4 linked regions of the Diceros bicornis minor genome follow. The protein of the gene in region 3 interacts with the protein of the main gene of each other region in a pairwise test. Links are inferred from orthologs where the notes say so. Each region holds a gene or a part of one and is shown on either strand. Other genes may lie near its edges. The genes, in order: MIER2, P4HA3, NDN and FXR2.

Region 1 (7,924 bases), on a different chromosome or scaffold from region 3:
ACGCAGACTGATGCAGCTTCTATGGAGAACAGTATGGAGAGTCCTCAAAAAATTCAAACAGAAATACCATATGACCCAGCTATTCCACTACTGAGTATTTAGCCAAAGAACCTGAAATCAACAATCCAAAGAGGCTTATGCACCCCTATGTTCATTGCAGCATTATTCACTATAGCCAAGACTTGGAAGCAACCCAAGTTGCTCAGTGGCGCAGCGGTTAAGTGTGCGCGCTCCGCTTCTGTGGCCCGGGGTTCGCAGGTTCGGGTCCCGGGTGCGCACCAACACATCGCTTGTCAGGCCATGCTGTGGCGGTGTCCCATATAAAGTGGAGGAAGATGGGCACGGATGTTAGCCCAGGGCCAGTCTTCCTCAGCAAAAAAGAGGAGGATTGGCTTTGGATGTTAGCTCAGGGCTAATCTTCTTCACCAAAAAAAAAAAAAAATGATGAGCATACAGCCCCCACTGCTGCCTGGGGCTCACCCACTCACTTCCACCACACCTTCTCCGAGGCTCCCCTGGTGAATGACTCAGACCCTCGTCCCTGAGGGGTCTGACGCCCTGTCATCCGGCTTCCGTCAGCCCGTGGGTGCTGTCCGCTTCACGTCAAAACTGGGCACAGAAGGATCCAGAAAGCCCGATGGTGACCCTGCTCCGTTGCAACCCCTTAAACACCGTGCACCCCAGTCTCCTAAACTTTGCCTCTGCTCCCCCTGCCGGGTGCCCTCGCCAGCCCCTCCTTTCCTCCCTACGGCTCAGTGCACACACTGCTCTTTATTTTCTTAGCTTTATTTCTTTTACTTTTTTTTTTTTGGTGAGGAAGATTGGCCCTGGGCTAACATCCGTGCCTATCCTCGTCTATTTTATGTGGGACGCCACCACAGCAGCACGGCTTGATGAGCGGTGGGGAGGTCTGTGAACCCCGGGCTGCTGAAGCGGAGCGTGTGAACTTCACCACCACTACGCCACTGGGCTGGCCCCACATTTCTTTCACTTGTATTTGAAAATCATTCAGGTTTACTGAAAAATTGCAAGAATAAGTATAGTCAAAAAAGCATCCACACACTCTTTCCCAGACTCAGCTGTTAACATTTCTCCCCATGGCTTTATCATTTGCACCCTTTCTCTCTGTCGCTGTCTCTCTCTCCCCGCGTGTGTTTTACAGACGTAAAATATCTTCTTCTGAAGCACTTACGAGTAACTTGCACACATCACGGCACTTACCCTGTCTTAGTTCCTTCGGGCTGCTGTAACAAAAATGTCATAGACCGCGTGGCTTATAAACAACGGAAGTGCATTTCTCACTCTCTGGAGGCTGGAAGTCCAAGATCAAGGCGCCAGCACATTCAGCGTCTGGCGGGGCCGCTTCCTGGTTCATAGTCGGCACCTCCTTGCTGTGTCCTCACGCGGCAGAAGGGGCCGGGAGCTCTCTGGGGTCTCTGTTACCCCTGATCCCATTCATGAGGGCTCTTCCTTCAAGTCCTAAAGACCTCCCGAACGCCCACCTCCTAATGCCACCACACTAGGATGATTAGGTTCCCATATATGCATTTCAGGGGTACACAGACATTCAGTCTGCAGTAACCCGTAAACACTTTGGTGTGAATTTCCTGAGAATAAGAATGTGCTAACCACAGAAGGGTTACCGATTTCAGTGCACTTAACACCGATGCCATACTTTCCTCTAATCCACACCTGAATTTCAATTTTGTCTGCTGACCCGATCATGTTGTCTGTAGCATCTCCCTCTGCACTCGGATCCTGTCTAGGATCACGTATTGCATTTAGCTGTCACGTCTGGAAGGTTTCCACAGGTTAGTCTTTTGCAGCATTAACATTTTTGAAGAATACAGCCCTTTTTTTTTTGGTTTGTTTAACAGAGGGTTCCTTATTTGAGGTCCGTCTGAAGTTTCCTCAAATACGGATACAGCTTGTGCCCTCCAGGCCAGATTAAGTGATACAGTGTCCTCAGCGCACCGCCCCTCACAAGTGACGTTAATTTTTCTCACTTGGCCGAAAGGTTGCCTCATTTCTCCTCTCTACCTGAGAATCAGTGGGTGAGGAGAGGCTTTCAGACCCTAAAAACACCCTTCTCTTCACCTGAACCCGCTTCTCCCTGCGTTTCACATCGGTCAGTGATTCTTGTCAAAGCTCTCTCCCCGGAGTCTTCCCGCTGCCCTAGGCAGACTCAAGCCCTTTTGCTTGGCTGCTGCCACCTGTTAGGACACGAAGCCCCACTCTCGTCGTATCTGCTGATGCGACTCCTGCCTCCCTGGAGCCCTGGCTGCCCAGCACCCCGCTGAGGGCTGGGGGTGGTGGTGGGGGGGAGACACATCACATTGATTGAATGAATGAATGACCAGCTGTTCTCTGTGTCAGTGAGGACTCTGGGTCACAAGAGCCTGAAACCCCATTCGCAGCCTGCAAGCCTACACAGGGAGCGGGGGCTCACTGACCCAGGGGACTGGAGAGCACAGTGGTGCTGCCCCCTCCCGCTGGCAGGTCCTGGGGGCTGGGGTAACGCTTTCCTATCGAGCATCACATCGTGCAGGGTGCATCTGGACTTCTCAGCACTGTGGTGGCTGACAGCTGGGAAAGGAACGGGGCTTGGGGGTCCCCTGACTCTCCAATTCCCTTCCTCCTGGCCTCAGCAGGAACCACCATCCGCTCACTTGCGCCAGCCAGAAATCTGGGGGCTGTCCCCCACGCTCTCTCCCCCTTCAGTCCCTCCCGGGAGCTCGTGGAGCCCACCGTCCCCACCCTCCCTCCGCTTCTCTGTTTCCAGCCGCCACCTCGGTCACAGGCCACACAGCGGCCAGCTCGGGCCACCTGGGGCTTCGCTGTTCCTCTCTTGCTCTCTCTACACCCGCCCTGTGCTCAATGCACTTGTCAGTCTGAAATCTAAAATGCCACCAAGCCCTGTTGGGACTCCAACTCCCCTCCAGCGCCCAGCACAGGTTCAGAACTGCAAACGGCCCGTAAATACGTGACCAATCAATAACGAGGGCCTTCAGAGCCAAGCGGGCCCGGTTCCCGCCCACCTCCCCTGCCCGCCCAGGCACGGACGCCCGAGTCCAGGGCGGCCACGTGTCTCAAGGCGCATGGTCGTAAGCTCCCCAAGCGACTCTTTGGCACCCTAGATGGATCATCACTGGTGCACAAGTGCAGAAAGTTCCAGAGCCACGCGGAAGTTCCAGAACCTTCAATCCTGGCTCCATCACTTATGCATTGGGGGTCGGTCCCTCTGGGCCTCGGTTTTCTGATCTGTGACATGGGGGTACTAATGCTATGGGGCCATGGGATTGGTAAGAGGAAACGGGACCAGCGTGCCCTACGCAGGTGTAGCTGCCAGGTGTTAGCATTCTCCCTCCGGCATCCCCCACCGCCCAGGCCCGGGCCCGGGCCAGGGGGCCCGGACCCTGTCCGCCCGCCCGCGCACCCACGCCGGCGCAGCCGGTCCGCGAACCTACTACGACGCGGACCCTGTCCGCCCGCCCGCGCACGCCGCCCGCGCACCTACTACGCGCCCGCCCGCCCCGCCCCCTGGCCCCGCCCCTGGCCCCGCCCGGCGCCCCCGCCCTCCCGGCGCCGCAGCCAATGAGCGCGCGGCCCCGCATCCGGGGATCCCGGCGCGGCCGCCGCCTCCCGCGCACACACGGCCATGGCGGAGGTGAGCGAGCGGGCCGGGGGAGCCGGCGCCCGCCCCCGCTCCGCGGCTCGGCCCGCCGGCGTGTCGGGGCTCCGGGCGCGGACCCCGCGGGGCAGAGGCCGGGCCGGTGCCGCGCCCGTGTGCCGAGGGGCGCGGGGCTCCGCGGCGGCTCCCGGCCCCTCCCGCCGCCACATCGCGGGCTGCGGCGCGCATGCGCGGGCGGGCGCGGGCGGGGGGCGGAGTGGGCGGGGGCCCTGGGCGGGGGCGCACGGACGCGGGGTGGGCGCCCGGCCCGGTCCCCGCGCGGCCGCGCCCCCGGGGTCCGCGGTCCCCCCGCCCCTCCCCCGCCAACTTTGCGCGGCGCTCGGCCGGGCGGCCGCTGCCCGGGGACCCCTGCGGACCCCCGCGGCCCGCGCGAGCCCCCTGCGGCGGGGGCGCCCTCCCGCCGCTCCCGGGCGGGCTCCGGCTCGCGGGGCGCTGGGGGTCGGAGCAGACCCCGGCGCCGGGGTTCCTTCTCCGTCCGCGATCGGGCGGCGACCCCTGGCCCGAAACGCTGGGCGCCGGCCCAGTGCTGGGATTCGGAGGGTTTCCGACTTGGGGACCCGCGGGTGGGCGCTGGGATGCGCGAGCAGACTCCCCGGGGCCGTCAGGGCAGAGACGGGCGCCGAGAGCCTCCTGCAGGTCCAGCCGGGGGCGGAAAAGTTTCCACTTCGGGAAGTTGGACGAGACCGTGCGACCCCCCTTCCCCCTCGCAGCCTGGGTGCGGGTGGGGTGACACGGTGCGCCCGCCGGGGCGCGGTGCGTGCGGAGGGTGCAGCCTGGACACGTCGCGCGGGTCCGCAGACCCAGCGAGTGGTCGTGGTCCGGGGGTGGGCCCCTGAGGCCGAGAGGAGAGGGTGCCCACCCAGGGGTCTGGGGTGTTCGGCTGCTCACGGGGCCGCATGGATAGTTTATGTCTGAGCGCAGCGTGGGTGCGCCTGCAGGGTGGGCCTGGCCACTCTCTCCCACCAGTGACGTCCTCGGGGGTAGCCATAGGCCCTGCACGTGCACCAAGGAGGGTGCAGGGCCTGACTCACCTGCCAGTCCCTGCCTTATGCTGGGTGGCTGGATCCAGAGGGTTCTTGGAGAGTTGGTTCTCCTTTCTTTGGGGGCATTTAGGGAAACTGAGGCCTCCTGTGGGCAGTGGCTGGCGTTGTGGGTTGGAGACAGAAGCCGAGTCTAGTGATGGCCCAGCAGGGTGTGGTAGTCAAGTGTGTGTGTCTGTGTGCGCTCCTGGCCCTGGGCATCGGGGGCCTTCTTCCTGGGCCCCAGGTGGCATCTGGGCAGCACTGTTGGCCTGGCAGGGATCTGTGTGTCGTGGGTGGACGGGATCGGCTCCCCTGCCAGCCTCTCCTGAGGGCTGCCGGGCTCGTCTGTTGACCCTGCCTTGCCCAGTGCCGAGCCCTGGCACCCTCGCGGCCGCCAGGTGCCTGGGGCGCTCCTGTCACCCCTGTTGACAGTTTGGGGTGGTGCCCTCTGAAGTGAGTTGAGTTGGTTTCCCGAGAGAAACCCTGTGTGCCTGGCTTCATTTGGGGCCCTGAAAGTCTGGCTGGGAGCAGAAACCTGACGATTCCGTCCTCAAGGGCCCGAGAGTCTGGGCAGAGAGGCTGGGCGGGAAAGGGCCAGCGCGTGTGCGAGGCCCAGATGAGAGGGGCCGCGGCCAGCCTCCGCCTGGGAGACTCTTGTGGCTCTGGAGCCTCTTGCTCTGTGTGACCTTGGGCAGGTCCCAGGAGGTCTCAGCTGCGGTTTCCTCGTCTCTGAAAGGGGAAGAGCCTAAAGGTCTCGGAAGATCTCGGTTCGGTGGCTGCGCAGAGAAGCTGGACCCTGTAAAATCACTGGCGACCAGCTGTCTCAAACTGTAGAGGTGGTGATGTGTAAGCTAGCAGTGACCCTTGCTCAGTGTCACCTGCCTGATCTCCGTTGTTGCCAGGATAGCCACCCGCACCCTGAGAGAAGACAGGGTGCTCTTTTCTCCTCGGACGCCAGGTTCGTCTCTCGAGGAGCCGAGTACACTGTCTTGTGATTAGAAGACGTGGCTCTCCGTTGTACTTGGGATAAAGTGCGTCCCTCCCTCCTCCCCCCGCCCCCGTGACCCCCTGCCCGCTGGTGTGGTCCCGAGGATCCCCCCCTGCCCCCTCGGGACCCTCCACGTCCACTTGTTTGTTGTCTGTGTCCCCAGCCAGGCTGGTAACTCGTGTGGATGGAGACAGGCGGAACCTGCTTCTCGATTGGCTGCCGTGCACCGGGCGCCTACCACCCCACCTAGCCCAGGACAGGTTCTCGGTGGACACTGGTCGGGTAGAGGCGGGAAGTGCTGGGGGTCCAGCCGGGGACAGCACCTCAGCCGGGGCGGGTGGAGGTGTCGATGCATCACGGAGGGTTCTTGAAACCTCAACGGTTTTGTTATCTCTCCTGGTTCTGGGGTTGCCTGGGCTCAGCTGGGCAGTTGTCACTCAGAGTCCTCACAAGGGCTAGTGGCCGGGGCTGGGGCTGGCCCCAGGGGAGGAAAGCTTCCTGGCTCCCGTGTGGCTGTCGATGCTGGCTGGGACGCCTCTGCCAGCCTGTCCGTGTGGCTTGGGCTCCCTCACAGCGTGGCGGCTGGGTTCCAGGAGTGACTGTCCCAGCACATCCCAGGGGAAACCTGAATTGCATTGTATGACCTTGCCTTGGAAGCAAATGGAGGCCCTTCTGCTAGTCACAGGCCCGGGCGGATGCACAGGGAGGGGCGCAGGACCCTGCCTCTCGAAGGGAGGCACATCCACGCACTTGGAGAGCCTGTGGGGTGGACATTTGGGTGCAGCCGTCTTGGAGGAGGGATCTGCCCCAGCATCCTTGTGGGTTGAGCTCGGAGGAGTGGTAGCTAGGAGTCAGACGCTGCCCGGGGGGCGAGGGCTCCTGCCTCTGCGTCTGAGAGGCCAGGGACCCCCCGAGACAGGATGGGCAGTCCTCCTGCTGGTGAGCAGGCTGCCTCTGCCACTCGAGGGGCCTGGGCAGGACCCCAGGCCAGGGCCCCTCTCTGCTGGGACCGAGTCTCCAGAGCGTGGCTTTCCTTCCGTCTGGTCCTCCTGCCGTGACTCGTCTTTCCCCGAGTGCCCTTGGCCAGCTCACCATCCTTTTCCTTCGTCCCCTCGGCACAGCGGAGGGCTGTGATGGATGGAAGCATCCAGAGTGTTCTGAACGAGGGGAAGGAGAGCCCCAGGAACTCCATGACTAGTGGGCTTGCCCCTGAAAGTCGAGGTTGGCGCAGGGGGAGGCGGAAATCCATGCAGTCTGTTCCTGGGTCAGTTTTGAGGAACTCGCAGTCGCCTGGAAGTGGATTTGGGGGTCCGGAGCCCCGTGGGGAACAGGCTGCCGTTCCTGCCGCTCCCCGCTCTGCTGCTCTGCCTGAGCTCCCGCTCCGACGGAGGGCCCGGTGCTCAGACCCTGCAGGCCCGCACGCCGCCGCCCCGAGGCCGCACCGCGGGTGGACGCAGCAGGGCTGTGCCCTGTTTCTCGCTCTGGACAGCGAGCGTCCAGTCAGCCTCTCTTAGTTTCCCTGCGTTAGTCGGGGCCCTTGGTTGCAGGAGACGGAAAGCCGGCTCTGGTGGAGAGGGAGCCCAGAGGGTCCTGCAGGGGCCGGGGGGTTCAGAGGGCACTGGGGCCTGGGCCCGGGGCAGCCTGCTTGCTGATGGCAGCCTGCTGTTTTCTGGAGGGAGGCGAGGCCGCCTCTGCCGGCCACAGGCTGACCCAGGGCACCGGGTGCCCTGCCCTCCTCGCCTGCTCCCAGGTGTGCTGCCCCAGCCCCGCCCGGCCGCTGGCTCCCTTTCCCTCCCTCTGCGTTCATCGCCTCCTGCCTCCCTGGGGCTCAGCTTCCTAAAGCCGATGGGCGGTGAGGCTCCCACTCGGCAGAGGCCCCCCCCACCCTTCCTCCCCCACCAGGCTTCGCCCTCCTCCTCTGCGCCTGGTCCTCGCCAGCCCCCACCCGTGCTACTGCAGTGCCCCGTCTGGCTCTGCCTCGCAGCTCTCGTGGCCTCACCGTCCGTTGGTGGACTTTCATTATGCTGCACATGGACTGAGGGGCTCTAAGGGGTTTCGGAGTCGCAGAGTCTGGGTTTGAGTTTGTAGTTGTATCACTTACTTGCTGTGTGAGCTTGGATGAGTGACTTGATCCCTCTGAGCTTCGATTCCCTTGTTTTTCTTATGAAGAGAATGCTTACACAGCCTCTTGAGGTTTTCCTGAGGAACCACTGAGGAAATTCT
Region 2 (7,396 bases), on a different chromosome or scaffold from region 3:
AACTGCCAAAACTCTTGTTTTAAAAGGCAAACATTTCACTAGGTTTTAGGGCATTGACTAGAGAATAGACAGTCTCTAAAATATCAAACTAAACTTTCTGAAATTAAATGCTCATAAGTCATATGAGAAGAGAATCTAGAATTTCTCTGATTCTTTTTTATTATCTGGCCTCTCAACAATCCTAGTTACTGCTTAGAGCCAAAAGTGGGGTCTAGTTTCATCAGCCAGTCTTAAAATAAACAACAATTATAAAGAGCTAACATTTGTTGAACAATTATTATATGCCAAGCACAATGATAAATACCTTTACATGGTATTTAATCCTTCCAACAACCCTATAAGGGTAGGTACTATCATTATCATCATTTTACAAATTAGGAAACTAATGCTTAAAGAGGCAGAGGAATTTGCCAAAGGTCAGAGCCAAGGATTCAAGCAGAGTCTGTTAAATTCTTGAATCCAGACTCTTAACCACTATGTACTCCAGCTGCTCATAAAACCTTAGCAGTTATGGGGCTTGGTCTGTGTCCTGGCATGCCAGATAAAGTAAGCATAGCATGATGGAAAGAAACAATGAAAAGAACTGTGTCCTAGTCCTGGATTTGCTACCTACCAGATTTATAATCTTGGATAAGGTACAAAACTATAGTTTTCCCATATTTTAAATGATTCCTCATTTGTTTAAGAGGGTAATACAAACCTATTTCAAACCATTGTGTGTGACAGAGTATCAAAAGAGATAAAGTTTGTGCCAGATCTCCCACTGTGACAAAGCTGTGACAATGAAAATGGTGATAAGACAGTAAAAGAGACCAGCATGCAGAGGGGATCCCTGGCCAGCCGGTTTGATCAACACTGCAAGCTCTCTCTTCTGAGCCTGTTCCCTGAGGGCCTGGCATCAGAATTCTGAGCTCCCCATCTCCATCTGAGCCACTCAAATAAAGAGATTAGTGGTAGGACAACAAGCACATAAGCAGCAGGGAGCATGTGGGTATCTTAAATCAAAGAGAAAAGAGTCTGCTCTATTTCCACTAACGAAATTGGACCCCAATGAATCTGGACTAAGAACAAAATTAAAACATTTTGCTCTGTAAACTTGGGCCACAGAACACTAAGCAACTATGCTACTCCAAAGAGTGACAAGAATTATTGAAATTATCATCATGTACTGTTATAATTAATACAGATTTAACATACATTATATATATGTGTATGTGTGGGTGTGCACGTGTGTGTATCATCACGCTATTTCAAACTAACAGTAAATTTAAACATGCATATAACTGCTTATATGCCAGCTACATACTTAAGAGCATGTACCAAATCACATCATCATTCAGTCACCATTGAGTAACAAACAAGATCTCTCACACACACTTCCACAAACTGATTCTCTTCCACATGGGCTCTCTCGCATAGCCATGGTGTCCCACACACCTTCTTCCCATGTGTCCCAGAATCAGTATTACCATCACACACACTCACAATTTGATAAGCAGTACATTGTGAGACAGCCCTCTGTTGTCTCAGTTCAGCAGAGAGTCACGTGATAGAAGTACAATATTAATATATTCAGACAGCAACATGGTTACACCATTGTTTCTCACACTGTAGGCTTCCCAATGTCCCAAAGAGAGAAAGCACAACACATATGTGTCTATGATACACATGGCATTGTACACAATCACTCATCTTTCCTAGTTTGACACTGACAGAGTCAATACATGATTACAGTGTTTTATCCCACAGTGTGTAGCACTAGAGTTTGTTGATTGGATAGCAAAACAACATTGGCTGAGCATCTGCTTGTGTGTGCAACACTCAGTATCCTCTAGCATCAAGTATGGTTTTGCCCAGTGTTTTCTTGCTGTCAAATACTTTCACACACATATAACATCTCAGTTATCATTTATTTAGTACTTAGTTCTTACATGAGTAAAGAGAAGGGAGAGCTGAAAACAAAGGAGGCCATGGACATCTCTGATTACCAATCGTGATGCTACAGACTATAAGCTCCTTGAGGGCAGGGTTGGGTCTTGTTCACCATTTTATCCCCAGTGCCTGGAACAGTGCCTGGCTCATAATAGGCACTCAAACATAAGTGTTGAATGAATTGATGAACATGAAGCATTATTCATAGAGCGACTTGTACAATCACTTGGCACCTTTCACATGCAGAGTATGATATCCATAGTGTCCTGCCCATCCAGTCCCAATGACGCGTAAATCTCCTCCAAGGTCACAGAACATCACCCAACTCCTCATACTAAACACCAGTTCACTGGGTCACATGGTCAAGACATGTGTGGCTGCAGCATCACACACTATTCTCTGCATCTCACTCTGGCAGTATCTCTGCATCTCTGTGACACAAGACCTGGGGCCCACACAACTTGACACAGTGCCTTGTGAGGTCCTTGGCTTCAGAGGCACTCCACCACACTTTCCCACAGTGTATCAACTTCGCTGTGTGACGCTGGATCTGGAGTGCCACTGTGTGTGTGTGACGGAGTCTGAGGCCCCACCCTGTGTGACACAGCGTCTCTAGGGTCATAATCAGTCTCAGTTTCCCCATCACCCCATGGCACAGTATCTCGGGGTCCCACACTGGGTGACAATGGGTCTGGGGGGGTCACATTGGGCCACCGTGTCTCAGTCTCAGGGTGTGACACAGGGTCTGAGGTCCCACACAACATGACAATGAACCTCAGAGTCACCCCATCCTGTAGCACGGTGTCTCAGTCTCGCCCTCTGACTCAGTCTCCCGCACTCTGGCGTCTCTGTCGCTCCCGCCCCCGTCCCTCACCTGGTCAGGTCCCGCAGCCGCGCCTCCTCCCCGCGCAGGTAGCGCCGCAGCAGCCCCAGCAGCCGGCGCTCGGGCGCCAGGGCGCGCGCCACGCTGGTCAGCGCCGAGAACGTGTCCCCGCGCGCCGCGGCCGCTGCCGAGTCCGCTGCCCGGAGCGCCAGCAGCGCCAGCAGCGCCGCCAGCCGCGCCGCGGGGCCCATGGCCGGCGCTCCCGCGCGTCCCCTCGGACCGTCCAGCCCGGCCAGGCGCCCGCCGCTCCCCGCCCGGCCCGCCCCTCGGCCCCGCCCCGGCCGCGGCGCCTCGGCCCCCGCCCCTCCACTCCTTCTTGGCTCTGACGCCTCCTCTCGCTCTCCATCTCCCCGCTTCCTGCCCCTTAGCTCCTCAGACCGCGTGGGGGCCGCCTGCAACCTCAGGGTCTGACACCCTCCACTAAATCACGGCCCTCGGAAAGTGTTCCTCTGTGCCCATTTCACACTTAGGGAAATGGAGGCGGGGATGGGTGAGCGATGAATTCACTGGTCTATGGCTGTACCGCGCCGTCTCCAAAATATTTACCCCCTTGGATCAGAGGGTGGAAATACAGAGACACCACTGGATTCTGATGGGGAAATCCAAGAGGGTAAATCATGCGTTATAGTAACAGCAGTGCGGGTAAAGAGCGAGGAGAGAGCAGAAGGGAGGAAAACACTTCACTGAATTCTGGACGTCTGAGCCCTCTTGGAGGATGAGTAGAATTTTGACCCGGGGTGAGGAGGATGAAGGCCGTTAGGGTCAGTGCATGACAAATCTAGAGCTATGGAACCTAAAACTCTGGGGTCCTGGGCAACTGCTCTACACAATCTGCCTAAAGTCACTTAAGGGAACAAAAATATTGTTATTATTATACCGGAGGCTACTTATTCTTTTCCCCTCCTTCCCAGGCTAGGCAGTGTTCCCTCCTTCATTCATTTAACAGATATTTAGCACCTCTGTTACTGTGCTGAGGACACAGAAAAATAGCACATCCAACCCTGGACTCACAAGGGGAGACAGATATGTAAACACACAACCACAAAAAAGTGCTATCAGGGTAACTGAGGGTTGTGCAACGAGAAATGGCAACACTGAGGAGGGCGCTGGTGTCCCTGCATAGTGGTGAAGAGGGCTTCACAGAGGCGCGTGCAGGTCCAAAAGGATGAAAAGGAATTGTCTGGAAGACAACAGGCAAGAGAGCGATGGGCTTTCCTGGCAGAAGTTACCCATGTGTACCAAAGTTTGGAGATGGAAAACAGTTTGAATTCTAGGAATGATGAAAAGTTCCTTGTGATTGGGACTGTCAGATTGTGAAGGGGCTTTGCATGTCATACTCAGAAATTTAGCCTGTGCTCAATGAAAATCCAGTGGAAGTCTTTAAGGTGGCAATAATAGTCATCCAGTGACTGAGTGAGATGAGGGAATAAAGGCCCAGCCATTCAGGCCCAACATGAGACAGCTCTGACAGGAAACACTAGCTCTAGCCCTCTTGCCACCTTGATCAAGGCTTGTTAAGCCTCTTTGACGTCTTCCTCTGTCCTGTCCTGCTGCCTCTCCCTTTCACAGATGTTGACCCCTAATAAATACCTTGCACCCCAAACTCCATCTTAGCATCCGTTTCTAGAGAACCCAATCTGTAACATCAACACAATCAGCACACACAGCCACTGAGTGTAGAGCAGGGACCTGAACCCAGGTAGCGTGGATCCAGATGCTGTGTTCTTAATAGCTACCTGAGGCAGATTTACCATGAAATTTTTGAGGCTTAAGCTTCAAGGCCCCTAATTTGCACAATCCCTTCCCAAAGCCCTCAGGATCCTGGCATGGGGGAGCCTAGCAATGTGTTCTCATTATTAGATGTATTTGTAAAATTGGCAAAAGAAAACTATTTTAACCAAAATTGGTTAAATTGTCTCTTTCCACTCTGGCTTCCTCTCCATCACACTCTCTCATAACACTTCCCCTCTCCATCACACTCATAACACTTCCCCTTACGGCGGGAATGTTGGAATGGCCATGGGCCTGTGTTTGTAACTGAGTAGTTGTCTTAGACTGCTTTCTGCCCATAGAAGGTTGGGGGTTGTGGTAGGTAGAATAATGGCCCCCCCAATGATGCCCAGGTCCTAATTCTCAAAACCTGTGACTATGTTGCCTTACATGGCATAAGGGATTTTACTGGTGTGATTAAGTTAAGGATCTTGAGATGCCTCATTTATTTACATATTCATTTATTTATATCAGTATGGGCTCATGAATTTTATTGAATGGATTATAATCCATTACTTTGCTTATTTTGATGCTCAAATTGCCCTAGAGTTGGCCAGTGGTAGCTCTTCAATCGGGCTCCTGTGTCCTTTTGATATGTCCCCTTCATTCCTTGAGCACTTCCATACTTTGTTATTTGCAAGATATTCCAGGTCATCTTGTACTTTCCTTGCCCCAGTCCTGAAATCGAGCATTTCCCCCATGAGCCCTGGTTCCTTTTAGTGGAGTAGAGTATTCAGAAACCAAGATCTGGGTGCTAGGTATGCTTACTGCAACTGGGTTTTCTCTGCTCCCAGGTCCTCCCTCTCAGCAGACAGAGCTAGGAAATTATATATAACTTTGTTAAACTTATTCATAAGTTTTTTTTCTTTTAAAAATTGAGTTATAATTCACATAGTATAAAATCCTCATTTTTAAAGTGTATAATTCATTGGTTTTCAGTATATTCACAAAGTTGTGCAACCATCACCGCTATCTAATTCCAGAATATTTTCTTCACCCCAGAAAGAAACCCTATATCCATTAGCAGTCATTCTCCATCCCCTTCACCTGTGGCAACCACTAATCTACTTTCCATCTATATATGGATTTACCTACATGGGCATTTCATATAAATGGTTTTGTTTTTGATACAATAGTAAATGGAGTTGTTTCCTTAATTTCATGTTCAGATTGTTTGTTGTTAGTATATAGAAATACAATTGATTTTTGTATATTGATCTTGTATCCTGTAACCTTATTAAAACTGTTTATTATGTCTAATAGTGTTTTTTGTGGATTCCTTATGATTTCATATATAAAGATCATAACATTGGAAAATATAGTTTACTTCTTCCATTCCAATCTGGATGCTTTTTATTACTTTTTCTTGTCTAATTGCCTTGGCTAGAACCTCCAGTATAATGTTGAATAGAAGTGACAAGAGAGGACATCCTTGTCTTGTTCTAGATCTTGGGGGAAAGCTTTCAGACTTTCACCATTAAGTATGATATTAACTGTGGGTTTTTTGTCAATGCCCTAATTAGGTTGAGGAAGTTCCTGTCTGTTCCTAGTTCACTGAATGCTTTTATCTGTCAAATATGTTTTCTGCATGTATTGAGATGATCACGTGGTTTTTATCCTTTACTCTCTTAATATGATGTGTTACAATGATTGATTTTTTTGTTGAACCAACCTTGCATTCCTAGGATAAATCTTGTTTGTATCTTGCTGGATTCATTTGCTAATATTTTGTTGAGGATTTTTGTATCTATATTAACAGGGGGTGTTGGTTTGTAGTTTTCTTATGATGTCTTTGTCTGGTTTTGACATCAAGATAATACTGGACTCACAGAATGAGCTGGGAAATGTTCCTCCTCTGTCTATTTTGGAAGAATTTGTGAAGGATTGGAGTTAATTTTTCTTTAAACATTTGGTGGAATTCACCATTAAAACCATTTAGGCCTGGGGTTTTCTTTGTGGGAAGTTTTTTGATCACTGATTCAATTCCTTTAGCAATTATTTTAGAGCAAGTCTGCTGGCAATGAATTCCTTTATTTTTCTTTCGTCTGAGAATGTCTTTATTTCAATTTTATTTTTTGTGCTGGCCTCCATGGTTTCTGAAGAGAAGTACATAGTCGTTGAAATCATTGTTCCTCTATAAGCAATGCATATCTTTCTCTGCTTGGTTTCAAGAATTTTGTCTTTGTCCTCCTTTTTCAGAGGTTTGATTTATGATGTGGGAATGAATTCTGGTGGGGAGGTTATCCTTTTTGGGATTTACTGAAATTCTTGAATCTGTAGGTTTATCTATTTTGTCAAATCTGGGAAATAGTCATATATTATTTCTTCAAATACTTCTTTTTCAAAATCTTCTTCTGCAATTCTGATGACATAAATTAGGTACTGCCTCACAGGTCATTAAGGCTTTGTTCACTTTTTAAAAAATGTTTTTTCTCTGTTGTTCAGATTAGATAATTTCTATGGATCTGTTTTCAAGTTCACTGGCTCTTTTCTCTGTCATGTCTGTTCTGCTATTGACCCCATCAGTGATTTTTTTATTTTGGTGATTGTACTTTCAGTTCTAACATTTCCATTGGCTTCCTCTTTATATCTTCTATTTCTTTGTTGATACTTGCTACCTTTCCATTCATTTCAAGAGTGTTCACCCTTACTACTTGGAGCATTTTATAACAATCTTCAACAATTTCAACATTTGTGTCATTTCTTCTTTGACATCTGTTGATTTTCTTTTCTCATACTAATTGAGATTTTCCTGGTTCTTCATATGTTGAGTAATTTTGGATTAAATACTAGACATTTTGAATATTATAA
Region 3 (6,601 bases):
ACTCATTCTGTCTGGGTTCGAATCCTAGCTCCTCCTCTCACTAAACTTTATGATCTAGGTAAAGTTAATTACCTACATTTTTCCTGTGTTTCCTCCATGGTGTAGATGTACTAAGTGCCTGCCTCATCACGCTGTTGTGAGGATTAAATAAAAGGAGAAAATGCATGTAAAGCATTTAGTAAAATGCTTCAGTCCTTAACTGCCCACAAGAGACAGCTATTAATTTTAATAAAATGTAGAAAATACAAGAAAGGAAATTACTCTAAATATTATTTCTATGTGATGTGACTATGAGCATTTTTGCTTTTTCTTTTTATACTTTTTTATATTTGTCAAAGGTTTGAAATGAACGAGTTACATTAAAAAAAAACTATAAACTTCACACATCTATGAGTAATGATAAGTAGTGATTTTCCCACCCTATTAGATGAAAGTTATATTTGTACATTTTGTAAAATGTCTTATTCCCAACCCATACCACTTTGTTTAAAAGATGAACACTTTTCCAAAAATGATTGTATCACAAGAATCTTTAATGTTTACTTTAAAGTTTACTCATGGTGGGGTTGTATTTGTGTTCAGTGAAGTGTGCCAAGTGCCCACATTGAGACCATTTCAGTTCATATCACTGCACTCCACACGGATGGTTCCTGTGCCCAGCAAGGTCAGAGAGAGGGGCCTTGACTTTTCTCTTGGTTAGGCCAGCTTTACTGGTGAGTTCTTCCAAACTCTCCAGGAGCAGTCTACCCCAATACACATCATCCGTTCCATATAAAAGAATAAGCTGGAAAATTTCTCAATGTATTTCATAAGTTTAGCACATCTCTGGTACAAAAATTCAAGAAAGGTAGCACAAAAAGCGAAAGCACCAACAAAGCTTACTTATAAACAAACATGCATCAATCCTACACACTACCTAATAGTACGGAAATGAATACAACATTGCATTAAAAGGTATAAAAGCACTGTACTGAAAACAAACTTACACGTGAAATACTGCACTGTAAATCCTGAATACTCTAATGTCCCACCCCCACCCTTCCACCGCCCTGGTGAGGGTCAGAAACCATTAATCTGCCTCCAGACCTTGCTAGTCCTCGGAGACACTGCTGCGGGGGCAGTGGGCGGTGGGATCGGCCTCCCGCAGAGCTCTGGCCTCCTCCAGAGCCTCTCTGTATCGGGAAGGCCAGGCCTGGGGGTCTTTCTTAAAGACCCTGGCTAGGAATTCCATGATTTGCATCTTGGTGATTTCGCGGCTGGCACGGGAGCCCCAGAAGAACTCGTACTCAGGTGGCTCAACGTGGGGTACGCGCTGGTACTTCAGGTAATTCTGCTGGACGAACTCCTCGGTGATGAGCTTTCTCACATCTCCAAAGGTGGAGTGCTTCTTCCAGGGCCGCAGCCCCAGGATACGCAGCACGTTCCAGACAGCACTCTCTCTGGCGCCGCGACCCTTCACGTAGATGAGGCTCAGGATCATCAGCAGGAGGCCTGTCATGGGCATGCGGTTGCTCAGCGCCACCCTGTCCAGCTCCTCTGGCTCAAGTGCTTTGACGAGCGAGAACTCCATCGTGTGCAGGCTGGTCAGCCTCAGGTGTAGCCCGAACACTCGGGCCAGGATGAGGCTGGTGCGCCTGAGAATGCTTCTGCACCATTTCTTGTAACTGCCGATGACATCCTTCACCATGTCTGGAAACCAGATGATCATCCTCTTCTGGTCCTTGACCAGCACGTACCACATGAGCTCGTGCGCCTTCTGCACCAGCTGGGCCGGGGCGGGCGGCGTTGGGCTGGGCTGGGCCGCGCTCGGGGCCTGGTAGGCGCGGCCTTCCTCCACGGCCTGCTGCAGGGCCTTCGGGTCTCCCTCTTCGCTTGGGGCCTGGGGCGGCGGCGAGGCCAGAGGGGCGTCGGTCGGGCCTAGAGGAGGGCTCTCTGGCCCTGCAAGGGTCGCGTCCTGAGACTCGGGCGGAGAGAGCCCCCCGGGAACCCCAGGGCTGCCGTGCACCTCGGAGTTGGAGGGCTCGGCTGTAAAGCCGGGGTCGCACACATCCTTACTTTGTTCGGACATGTCTGCTCCGTCTGACAACGACACGGCCTCTCCGTCCAGGAGCTCTTCGAGCCTACTCTCCCTCCGCTGACTCCTGGAGAGGAAGTGCGCCTTGCTGCGCACGGCGCCTTCCGCAGCGGCCTGGCGGGGCGGGGCGGCGGAGGGACGGGCCACTGCGCCTGCGCGTCCGCTGCCGCAGGCAGAGCTCCCAGGGACGGGGCGGGGAGCCCGAAGGGGGCGGGTGTGCGTTGAGATCCCAAGGAGGGTAGAGGCGCCGCTAGAATTATGGCAACAGTGATCCCCAGGTGTCAATGTTTGGGCTAAGGAGGTATTGAGGAGGAGGGGAGAGGGATGGATGAGCACTGGAAGAGGAGCAAGTTTAAGAGGAAAGATGACTTAAGCTTCGGAGATGCTGAGTTTGAGTTTCTTAGGGAATGTTCAAGTGGGCATATCCAGAATCAAGTTAGATATGAGAGTCCCAGAAAAAGATCTAGGCTGGTGTGTAAACTGGCATTTCATGGCAGCGAATGTGAGAATTTAAACTGAGAGAACAATCGAGATTGCCCCCGCCCCCCCAAAAAATATAGAAACTGTGAGGAGGATGTCTGAGGTTGGAATCCTGAGAAATACCAATGAAAATTGACGGAATCCCTACCAAATCAGAGGGATTATAAAATAAGAAATGCAGAATATAGTCAATCCATGTGCAAAGGAAACTTTCTTGGAGATGCTATGCTAATGACATTGTTAGTATTTTACTGGTCATTGATTTTGGTTTTCCATTTCCTTTGGGTCATTTTGATTTCATTTTAATTTTTCCATTAAGATCTTATCATACAAAGATTGTCATATTTATTAGCATAAATTTGTATGATATCTTTTTCCTGGTTTGCCCAGCTCCCTCCTTCCCCTGATGACTGCTGCGACCTCTACTCTGTGTTCTGTGGGAACTTCACCTTCTCACAGGGCCCCACCCCCACCCTCTCGCAGCAACTAACTGTTCCCATGTTGGCAGCCACACGCAAATCCCTCCCAAGACTTTTTTTTTAACAAGGGTCCCATAGATCATATCTGGCAGTCTCTCTCAGATGACCAAGGATATCAGATGCAACGTATTGGCAGTTGTGTTTTCCAGTTTCAGAAAACAGATCTGCAGTGGGCAAAAACAAAACAAAACAAAACAAAACTCTCAGAGAAGCACCCATGAAGAAAGGAGTGGGTGGGTGTAGAAGCCTCTGGATCCAGGGTTCCTGAGAGTGATCAACATCCCTGGTCTGAGCTAGCGTGGTCCCTCAGCCCTTCCTGGGTTTCCTCAAGCCAACAGCTTCATAAATATGCCATCTTGTGTCTGGATATTGTCACCTGCAACCCAAAGCATAATTAAATACTGTCTTGACATTTCTAGAGTCCTCTCTTTATTTGCTTGTATCCCTTTCTTATTTTTCACTTTTTTTTTTCTCTCAAGTAGATTGACTTTGAAGCGTTTTCCATGCTGTTTCTCTATCTTTGGATGTCCATGCTTGTATCACATTTAGCAGGACCAGTCCCACACCAGTCTCTCCAGTAGGTCTCCTTAAGCTTTCACCTCAAAAGGATAATTTCTACAGATCTTTGAGATGTGTCTTCGATGGATTTTTTCCTGTTTATTTTCTTCTTCTTCTTTAAGTTATGGATTTCTATTTTTCTGAGTACATCTTACAGAGTTGTGTCAGTTATATGTTTTTTTAAAATTATTTACGAGTGGCTGTTGAATTGATTTATTAAAAACATTTTTCTTGAGAATAATCCTCATTTCTCAGATTTTATCACCATTAATTTTTCTTCCTCTTTTTTTCTTTCATTTGGATATTCTTTTCTAACTATTCGGGTTAAGTATTTAGTTCATTTATGGTATTTCTAATAATGAAAATGAAAGAGACTGTTATTTAAATCTCAGCTCAGCTTTGGCCATATGCCATAACTTTTGCCATTGTGAGGTTATTAAAATTACATCCTCAAATTTCTCCCTCCTAGAATTAGTGGATTCATGAAATTAAATCACAAGCTCGGGCACAACAATTATAAAAGTATAAAAACACTTGTTTATAAAAATTATGAAAGCAATGATAAGAAAAATTATAAAAACGCAACAGTTATAAAATTATAAAAGCTCCTGCTGTAGTGGGATCTCAGAGCTCTGGCCAGAGAGCTGCCTGGGTTTCCTGGACTGAACCTCATTCTAGTGAAGTTGCCTATGTGCAACAGTTGACCCCCACTACTACCACAGCTCACTTCACACCTCATTTCTGACAGGAGGGTTGTTTATTACTGCACAAGAGCCTGTGGATTAGAACTACTATAAGGGATTCTGCTCAGAGAGTTTAAAGCATTGGGACTGACGCCCAAGTTTGAAACCAAGTACATAGTAGATTCCCAGTGCTGCTCACCCTTGGAGCCCAACTGTATGCCTCCTAAAGGGATATCATTTTCTTCCCAGGAAAAGGTCTGCTGAAGAGGGTCCATTTCCCACCAAGAAGGAAATTCATGGAGTGGGGGGTGAAAAAAGTAATGCTCGGGTTAGCCTTTAAGTAGAGAAAGTATACTGCACATGTGTCATGGGAGAGGTCAGTAGCTTGATAGCTATCTAATAAAGTGCCTACCCGTGAACCAGACATGCAGACCTTTAGAAGGATAAGGAAAAGGACAGAAGGCACCATAGGAAAGAAGAGCCATCCACAGCTTCTTTAATTCAAGGGTCGAGATTCAGGGCTGGAGCTCCGGTGATGCTCTGAGAATGCTGGGGATAAATTAGGCTTGCTGGTTATCTCCAGGGCTAGCCCTATTTGATAAGGGCAATGAGTCCTTTCAGGGACAGCAGCTTAGAAGCAAAGGCTTGAAGTTTACAAAATAACTCCCCAGAGAAACTCATTAAAGGCTACTCTTTAAGTCAAGTTTCTGTAAATAGAAGTTCCATGGATGCAGGAAGTATATGGAGAAGTTATAACTTAAACATTCTGCTGAAGACAGTTTTGCTGGTGGGTTACTTCAAACTCTGTAATGTGGAACAGATTACACAGCTGTGGAATAGGCTGTTCTTGGCAGACTCAGGAATAGGAGGAGAGGCCTGTCCTGGCACTGGTTTCCATAGCGAACAGAGGAAGGGGGGTCACCCCAGAGTCTCCGGTGGACAGCGCGCATGCTCACAGTGCGGAGGCCCAGAGGCCCCGAATGAAATGTGAATCCTTCTGGCTCTTTCCTGTACGCATAGGCAGCAACCTCCACCTTAGAGCCCCCATATGGGCCCCAAATGCCTTGCAGGCCAAGGAATTGAGACAGACAATTCACATTAATGTGTTCAGCAAATATTGAGCAATGTCTATCATGTGCCTGAAAGATTTGCATTTTAGAAAAGTAGCTCAGTCTGAGGGGGAAACCAATTGCATTGGGACTGTTTGGCTGTCTGGCTCCTTTTTGTTTCAAAAGAATAAGTGAGGACAGGCTGTGCTGCTTTCCACAGTTGGGAGAGTGGAGGAGGGGACTCAACCCTGGCCCCTCATCCCTGCATTCTCCCTAGGATAACGCTGTGCATGCCTGTCCAACTGAGGCCAAAAGACGCTCACTAAAACGGGAGATCTTCTAGTCCTGCCCAGACCCACAATGTAGCCTGCTGGCACTTAGGAACTGACAAGATCAGGAGTGTCCTTTAGAAATGTCACTAGAATTAAGTCTGGAGTTGGGGGCAGGTGGATAAGGAGAAGCAGAGAGACCATTTAGGAGATCTTTCACAGGAACCCACTTGAGAAAGAATGATGGCTTGCATTTCAACTTCGTTCTGCAGGTATTTATTAAACACTACATTTCAGGCTTTGTGCCTGGGGATATAATGAGAAGGAGAGACATGGTCTCTGCAATCTAGAGAGAGGGTAATTAGTGGAGAAAAGGGGCCATAAGCAAACAAACAAATGAGTATTAAATAATCGTGCATTATTCTATGATGCATATTGCTAGGGAGCAACAATGTTGTCACAGAGAATAGAACAGAGGGAACCCATGTTCAATAGGGATGCTGGGGAAGATATAAATAATAAGAGAAGGTGAAGGGAGACTGTGAGTATCAAGGATGACAAAGATTCCGTCTCAGGGGCAGCTAAGACTGAGCAGTGCCATGTAGCTATGATATGGAGGCACCACTTCCTGAGACTATTTGGAGAGAGGTAGTGGGAAGAGGGAGTTGACATGTCCAGCAAATATCTGGATATATAGGTCTCACGAAAGAGGCTTGGGCTGGAAAGAGAAGTTTGGGAAACAAAGATGGTAAATAACGTCACCCTGAGAAAGCCTCTAGAGGAGGGTTCTTCAAAGGGTAACATCCTGACATGAGGGTGGGAAAATTTTTCATTGCGTAAGAGTGTAATGCACACCGAAGCAGTTTATGCCTCTGTCCCCTTCAAACGCACATATAAATGCCCTCCAGAAATGGGAAAAATGAAAACAAAGTGTAAGAAAACAAAAAGACACTTTCCCCATACACTGCTAAAAGCCCTTTTATGGGCAGTTCAGTCTCTGAGAACCACT
Region 4 (7,030 bases), on a different chromosome or scaffold from region 3:
AGGGACCTTCCCAAATTTATAGTTCTGGAAGCAATATAAACAAACACTCCTTGACCCACACTGAAATTTGCTGAGTCATGAATATTAAATCAGTAGCAAGGTCAGAATAGCTAAGTATCTATATGGCACTGAAAGTTGAAGAAAGATTAGTTGAATTTAGAGATTTACTATTGTTTTTAACCGAGGCATGGGGCAGAAAATGCTAAAGTAGCCAGAACACAAAATCCACATTACCTAGCTTTCAGCTTAGCTCCAAACTCTACTCTCTGATTCAAAGTATCCTGTCCCCAATTCACTCAAGTCTATCATTGCCACAGCCCACAGGAGAAAAGAAAAAGATTCAGAGAGCGATTTTCTGTTGGACACTCATATGTGGAAAGGAAAACATCTCCCTTCCCAGTTTTCTTTTTTTTGTGAGGAAGACTAGCCCTGAGCTAACATGCGATTCCAGTCCTCCTCTTTTTGCTGAGGAAGATTGGCCCTGGGCTAACATCCATTCCCATCTTCCTCTACTTTATATGGGACGCCGCCACAGCATTGCTTGACAAGCGGTGCATCGGTGCGCGCCTGGGATCTGAACCTGCGAACCCCGGGCCGCTGACATGGAGCGCGCGCACTTAACCGCTACACCACCGGGCCGGCCCATTCTTCCCAGTTAATTTGAAGTGGATACCAATCTTTCCCAGCTGCACTTGGCTCCCACGTTTCCTAGAACAAAAGCAAACATCATATCTTGATCTCAGACTCAATTTAAGAATCACTCTTCTTGGAACCCAGAATTTCGAGTGGGAAGGACCCAGATGAAAGACAAGATGGGAAAATTGGGGCTAAAATCTTATGAGGAAGGGTATTTCAACAAAGGTAATGCTGGTTTGGGGGAAAAGGATATAAGAGACAAATGTACTCTGTCAGAATCAGAAAGGAATTAGAGACTGCCAAAGAAAACAGAAATGCTATGGAGACAGGCTAGAAGAAAAAGTCCCATGAGTTAGGAAAGTATGCAGAAAAAATGACAGAAGAGGATCAGCTGGGAGCTTCTTTGAGACACGGAGTAAGATAGTTCCTGGGGATTACAGAGGAATACAGAAATACTAGGATAAAAAGCCAAAGACTTAAATTCAGAGAATAAGTTAAGATAGACAGATGTGGGTACCCTCAGGCACTGAATATAAAAAAATCTGGTGAGGGAAGTAGGGCAGAAATGGATAGGCACTTAGAGTGGGTAAAAAAATGCCTACACTGAACTTACCAACTGAAGCTGGGGCAGAAACCTTCCACTACAAGCGCAAATATGAGACTCTTTCCAGTTACAGTAAGATATAACTTCACAAGGAAGGAGCTGGAGAAAGTCATTTCCAAGGGCATGAAGGTAGAGAGCTCTTTTATGGGAGAATAGGTTTGAGGGGAAGTAAAGGAAAACGGGGCTCTTCTCACAAGTGATGTTATGAGAAGATATCTCAGCTCTTGCTCCTCAGGGTAAAATGAAAGACTAAGACAGAAATGTCTGCAAAAATTCCAGGCATAAAGTCCAAAGCAGTTCAAAATAACAACAGTCACACAAAGAAAAATTCCTGAGAGGCAAGAGGGGTCTCCCTCTGGCTAAATGTAAATGTCCTAAAAAATGTCCTAGAAAAGGAAATCTAAGGAACCAAATCCTGGGTGATGGGCAAGCTTAAGTAAACAAGGATCTTTTAAAGACAGTCCCCTTCTTCTTCAAAAAAAGGCTATCAGATTCCCAAATTGGGAGAGTTGGCCAAAAGTCTTCTAGAAGTGGAAATCCTTAAGACAGAAGGAATCCTCATGAGATCCCCTTTTAGAGATCATGAATACGAAGCTTACACTCATTTAGAAACGAAATGAATGATCTAAATGTATTTGAGGTGAAAGTGAGACAACAAATACAAATCCACCCCTGGGTAGACTGGTAAACCAGCTAGCCTTGGGATGAAGGGGTGGGGTGAGAGACTTGTGAAAAGATGCCACCCTATGGCTAAGGAGGCAACTTGATGGTACAACCCAGAGTTCCTGAGGTCAAAGATAACAAATGTCATAAATGGATTTTGACCGTTTCTCCTTGGGTTGGGAACAGAAATACAAGATGAAAGTGGGGTGAGTCTTCCAGAGCCAGTAGGAAGAGGCCTCTCCCAGGAAGACGAAAGGATCTAATATGGGACGGCCTTCCCAAGGGGTTAATAGGGAAGAATAAAGAGAATTCTCCATGTGCTTGGACTGTGGGGAAGATGTGATTAAGGTCTAAGGTATGTCTTCCACTAGGAAACAGGAAAAGTCAATAGGAAGCTGGGTAAATGGGGTCTCTTGGCGACGGGGGCCGGAGCGGCGGACGACACTGATCTAAGCACAATGATGACCTGATGTTCAGTCTCTGAGAAGGAGGTAAAAGCAGGTGAAATACCAAGAGGTAGGGGGTTAACTTCCAGAGGTCTCCCCAGGAGGGCTGCGGGTGAAAGTGTGGGTCTCAGGTTCTAAGGGTCAGGACTTAGCTCCAGAAGCTCGATCCCGCCCCACTCTTCCCTGCTCTGGCTGGAGGGAGGGGGCTAAAGACGGGTGTCCCCGGTCGGCGCGCCGCCTCACCTTGTAGAAGGCCCCGTTGGAGCCGCGCACCTCGACGGGCAGTCCCGGCTCCACATCCCCCCCAGAGGCCAGGCCGCCCATGGCGCCGCCACCTCCTCCGACTCCCCCGGCGGCTGCTGCAGCAGCGGTCTGACCACGGGCCGGGCCAGGGCCCCGGCGTCTCCCCGGAGGAGGAGCCGGAGGGGGAGCCGCGGGGGGCGGGAGCCGGGCCGGCCCCACGGCGGCCCTGCCACAGCCAACGAGCAGGGGGCCGGGGCCGGGCCGCTCCCCGTCCGCCGCCGCCGCCTTGGTCTCCGCCACCGTGAGGGAAACGGCCGCCGCCGCCGCTGCCTTCGTCACCTCAGCTTCCGCCCGCCGCCGCCCCGCAGCTGCCTCAGTCCCGGGACCCGCGGCTGCCGCTGCCTCTCCACGGCCTCCACCTCCCCCTGCCGCCTCCGCCTACTGCGCAGGCGCACCGCGCACCCGCCCGCCGCGCGCGAGGCCCCGAGGCTCACGGCGCAGGCGTCAAGACTGGCGACCCAGCTCGTGCTCGCCAGCGCATCAGGGCTTCCACAACTCCGTTTCACTCTCGCACGCCCCCTCCTGGTCGCTTACTTGCGCTTGCGCAGAACGAGATTGGCCCCCTTTCTTCGCCACCACCACTCCACCGCCCCCAGCTCTTCCTTTCCCCGCCCCACAACACTGAGAGTTAACCAATCGTGGGGAGGGAGGAGCCGAGCTCACTCAGTTGGATTGGATTTCTGCAGCTCCTGGTCAGACCACAGCCACTTTACCACTGGGAACTCCCCCAGGCTTGGACAAGTTAGGGATGGGCATGCGCCTAAATGACTGCTTGGTCACTTGCCCCACCTTTGTCTTTCTTGGTGCGCACGCTCTAAAGAAAAAAAAGAAGAGGAGTCGAAAGGCAAAAAAAGGTGCCCGGTGCGCAGGCCCTGAGCTTTACTGTCCATAGGCGTCTACCGACTCTTGAGCTTCTGTAACTCCTTCCCATAGGAAATTTGAGTCACGTTGTTGCCTAGAGAAAATTCTGATCATGCATATAATGAAAGGTTAAAAAATAATTTCAAAGCAGTACCGAAAAGCAAGTGCAACTTAGATCAGCACAAAATGTGATATCTAAAGGCTGAGGAAATTCAAAATAGGAACAATCGTTATGGAGTAAGGATAGTAGAGGGGAAACTTCGGGTTCTTGAACTAAGGAAGAAATTTAGGTAGAAGCGAATAAAAATAGCACAGAAATTAGAATCACGTGTTGTGCATTTAGTCATTTAGCAAAAATTTATTTAGCCTTCACTGTGTTCCAATCACTGTGCTAAGTGCTGGGGATACAAAGCCAAGATGTGGTCCCTGATCTCAAGGAATTTATAATATATTGGGGAAGGGGCAATTAAACAAGTTTAAATAAATAAATTAACAAATAAGTGCATAGAGTTTGACTGAAGATATGATAGAGATAAGGATTAGGGATAGAGAAAATTCCAAGGAGACAATGGTCAGTTGTTCTTCGGAGTGATCAGGGAAGGCCAAGCAGAGGTGATGCAAATTGAGATTTGAGGGATGAATAGAAGTTTGCTAGAGGAAAAGTGCAGTAAGAGTATTCGTGAGAGAACAAGGAATACAATGGTGCAGAGGAGCAGAAAGAGTATGTCTTTCGGGGGAACCACAACCAGTTCAAATAGCATTTGGCTTGAAGTAGGGAGCTGCAGGAAGCTAGACTGTGAAAGACTTGCAAATCAGATTAAAGAGAATGGCTTTTACTTTATCAACAACGGAGAGCCATTGAAAGGTTTTAAGCAGTAGTATAATGGGATAAGATTTACATTTTACAACTGTGGAGAATAGATTAAAGAGTAAGGGTGAGACCTGTGAGGAGCCCTTGCAGGTAAGAAAGATGCTGAGGATCTACCTTGATTAGGGCTCAGGGTAACAGAGGTACAAGTTGATTTACACCTGTTAAATTTGCAGTAGAATCAACAAGAATTGGTGATGAGGGTTCGGTGGGGTGGGGGTGAGGAGCCAATGAAGAAGAGGGAGGAACACGGGACAACTCTCAGATTTCTACCTTGGGTTACTGAGTGAATGGTGATGCCAATCATGGAAGAGAGAACACAAGAGACAAAGGTTTGGAGGAGAAGTTGATGAGTTTAGTGATTTTAGTTTCCCTCTTTGAGTCAGAGGATCCACCATCCAGGTGGACACGATCCTTTGTCTTCAACAAACTTCTCTTTCAGGTCTCAATTTCTCGGGCCGCCCCGTGGCTTAGCAGTTAAGTGTGCGCGCTCTGCTGCTGGCAGCCGGGGTTCGGATCCTGGGTGTGCACTGACGCACCGCTTCTCTGGCCACGCTGAGGCCGTGTCCCACATACGGCAGCTAGGATGTGCAGCTATGACATACAACTATCTACTGGGGCTTTGGGGGGAAAAATAAATAAATAAAATTATTAAAAAATATATATATAATTTCTTTAGCCTTCTACTATGCCCACACTAGGTTAGGCCTCCCACCTCCCACTGCCAAAGCATCCTATATTCCTTTGTGGCACTTATCATGGTTGTAATGTTAATGATTTGTCCAGCATCTTTCTTCTGCCATTACACTATAAGCTCTGTGAGGTCAGAGACTGGGTTCCATGTCTGTTTGTCCCCACCATTGTACACCCAGGACCTGGCACAGTTCCTGGAATGGCAAATATTAACTGAATGAAGGAATCAGTGTCCTGCAGGTCAATGGACACACAGGCGTGTGGCCCAGGAGAGGTCTGGGCTAGAGAGGTGGATGTGGGAATCATCAGCATGTTAGTCATAGTTAAAGCTGTAAGAGAAAATTAAATCTCTAAAGGAAAGTGTAGACTGAGAAATGAATTGGGTCCATGATGGAACTCTCAACTACACCAGTATATGAAGGGCTGATAAAAGAAGAGGAGCCTTCCAGGCGCCTGAGAAGGAACAGCAGTAAGTAGGGTAACAGAAAGGTAAAGAGACTATTAGCAGTGATTCTGGTAAGGAGTAGGGAGAGTTAGAGAACTTAAGTGGGGCAGATTATCAAGAGTGCTGGCTGTCAGACTGAAGAGTGTGGGTTTGGACTCAAGCAGTAGGGGTGACAGAATTTTGTTTTAGAAATGGCCCCATCACCAACTTCCAAGCTTTTGGCACCAACAGTCCTCTCAGGCTTGATTTTTCCTCTTCCTTATCTGCTCTGGTCATTCTTGATTCAGGCAAAGGATGGGAGTGGGAAAAGGGGAACAGCATTTCAGACAGGAGAATGGCATGTGCAGACAGCTCAGAGAGGAGAATACAGTGCATTTGAGGTACTGAAAAGAGTCTAACATAGTTAGAACCGACTTGGAGAGGAAACATGGTTGGAAGGGTTGGTTTGGGCCAGAGCTTGGAGGGATTAAATATATTTAGAAGTTTGGACTTTCTGCTGAGAGCAGAGGGAGCCATTACCGGATCTTCAGCAGACTTGCCTTTTAGTAAGATTATTCTAGCTGGAGTATAAAGGATGTGTAACAGAATGATCCAGCTTGCCTTAGGACTTCTGGTTCTTTCTTTTTATTTTTTTGTGAGAAAGATCGGCCCTGAGCTAACATCTGCCAATCCTCCTCTTTTTTTGCTGAGGAAGACTGGCCCTGGGCTAACATCCATGCCCATCTTCCTCTACTTTATATGGGATGCCACCACAGCATGGCTTGACAAGCAGTGCGTCTGTGCGCACCTGGCATCTGAACCGGCGAACCCCGGGCCGCCGCTGCAGAGCACCGGAGCTTGTGCACTTAACCGCTTGTGCCCCCGGGGCCGGCCCTGCCTTAGGACTTCTAAATAGAGAGATTGGGAGGAAGATAGAAAGAGGGATAGATTGATAGATGGATGGTTAGATAGATACTGAAAATGAGGATTAAGTGAAAGTTTACATACTGAATGTTAAGACTTCCCCCAGACTCCTTCACCCAGCTCTGAGAATACCTACAGCCAGGTTTATACCCTCCAAGTAGGAGTTTGGAAGAGCCTTTTCTGGAAATCTGATCAGACAAGAAAAAAGACCTAATGATACTGAAATCAGAGGCTCCTCATGGAAATAGCCTAGTGGATCACCCTATAGGAGAGGCCATAGTCAACATGCCTCCCTACCGCCCACATATACACACACAGTTTCCAATCAGTATTTTAGTGTCCCAATCTTCAATATCAGCAGACAACTAAGGATTACCAGACATTTGAGGAAAGCCTCTAAAACGAAAGACAGAAGCCAAAACAAATAGAGAAAGAAAAAAAAACATAGAAGAAATAAAGACTATGCAAGGAGAAAAGCATTTTTAAATAAAACTATCATGAATATCCTCAAAAAGAGAAGAAAAGAACATATATCTATGAAACAAAAACAGAATGTTTAAAAAAATGCAGAGAGGGCTGGCCCCGTGGCTTAGTGGTTAAGTGCGCGC

What was found.
Region 1: the proteins of NDN (region 3) and MIER2 interact in a two-hybrid assay, tested with the Homo sapiens proteins (2 studies listed by BioGRID and IntAct). The link is inferred for Diceros bicornis minor from reciprocal best matches to the Homo sapiens genes NDN and MIER2.
Region 2: the proteins of NDN (region 3) and P4HA3 interact in a two-hybrid assay, tested with the Homo sapiens proteins (2 studies listed by BioGRID). The link is inferred for Diceros bicornis minor from reciprocal best matches to the Homo sapiens genes NDN and P4HA3.
Region 4: the proteins of NDN (region 3) and FXR2 interact in a two-hybrid assay, tested with the Homo sapiens proteins (2 studies listed by BioGRID and IntAct). The link is inferred for Diceros bicornis minor from reciprocal best matches to the Homo sapiens genes NDN and FXR2.

Annotation. Positions count from the first base shown.
Region 1 is NW_026691553.1:98,772-106,695, reverse strand, and holds the start of MIER2 (mesoderm induction early response protein 2), read left to right. Parts: upstream 1-4,920; 5' UTR 4,921-5,671; intron 5,672-7,924. UniProt on the Homo sapiens protein: Transcriptional repressor.
Region 2 is NC_080746.1:56,656,312-56,663,707, reverse strand, and holds the start of P4HA3 (prolyl 4-hydroxylase subunit alpha-3), read right to left. Parts: upstream 3,007-7,396; coding exon 2,807-3,006; intron 1-2,806. UniProt on the Homo sapiens protein: Catalyzes the post-translational formation of 4-hydroxyproline in -Xaa-Pro-Gly- sequences in collagens and other proteins.
Region 3 is NC_080744.1:76,965,346-76,971,946, reverse strand, and holds NDN (necdin), read right to left. Parts: upstream 2,160-6,601; 5' UTR 2,069-2,159; coding exon 1,091-2,068; 3' UTR 516-1,090; downstream 1-515. UniProt on the Homo sapiens protein: Growth suppressor that facilitates the entry of the cell into cell cycle arrest.
Region 4 is NC_080757.1:10,725,639-10,732,668, reverse strand, and holds the start of FXR2 (RNA-binding protein FXR2), read right to left. Parts: upstream 3,002-7,030; 5' UTR 2,674-3,001; coding exon 2,593-2,673; intron 1-2,592. UniProt on the Homo sapiens protein: mRNA-binding protein that acts as a regulator of mRNAs translation and/or stability, and which is required for adult hippocampal neurogenesis. Specifically binds to AU-rich elements (AREs) in the 3'-UTR of target mRNAs.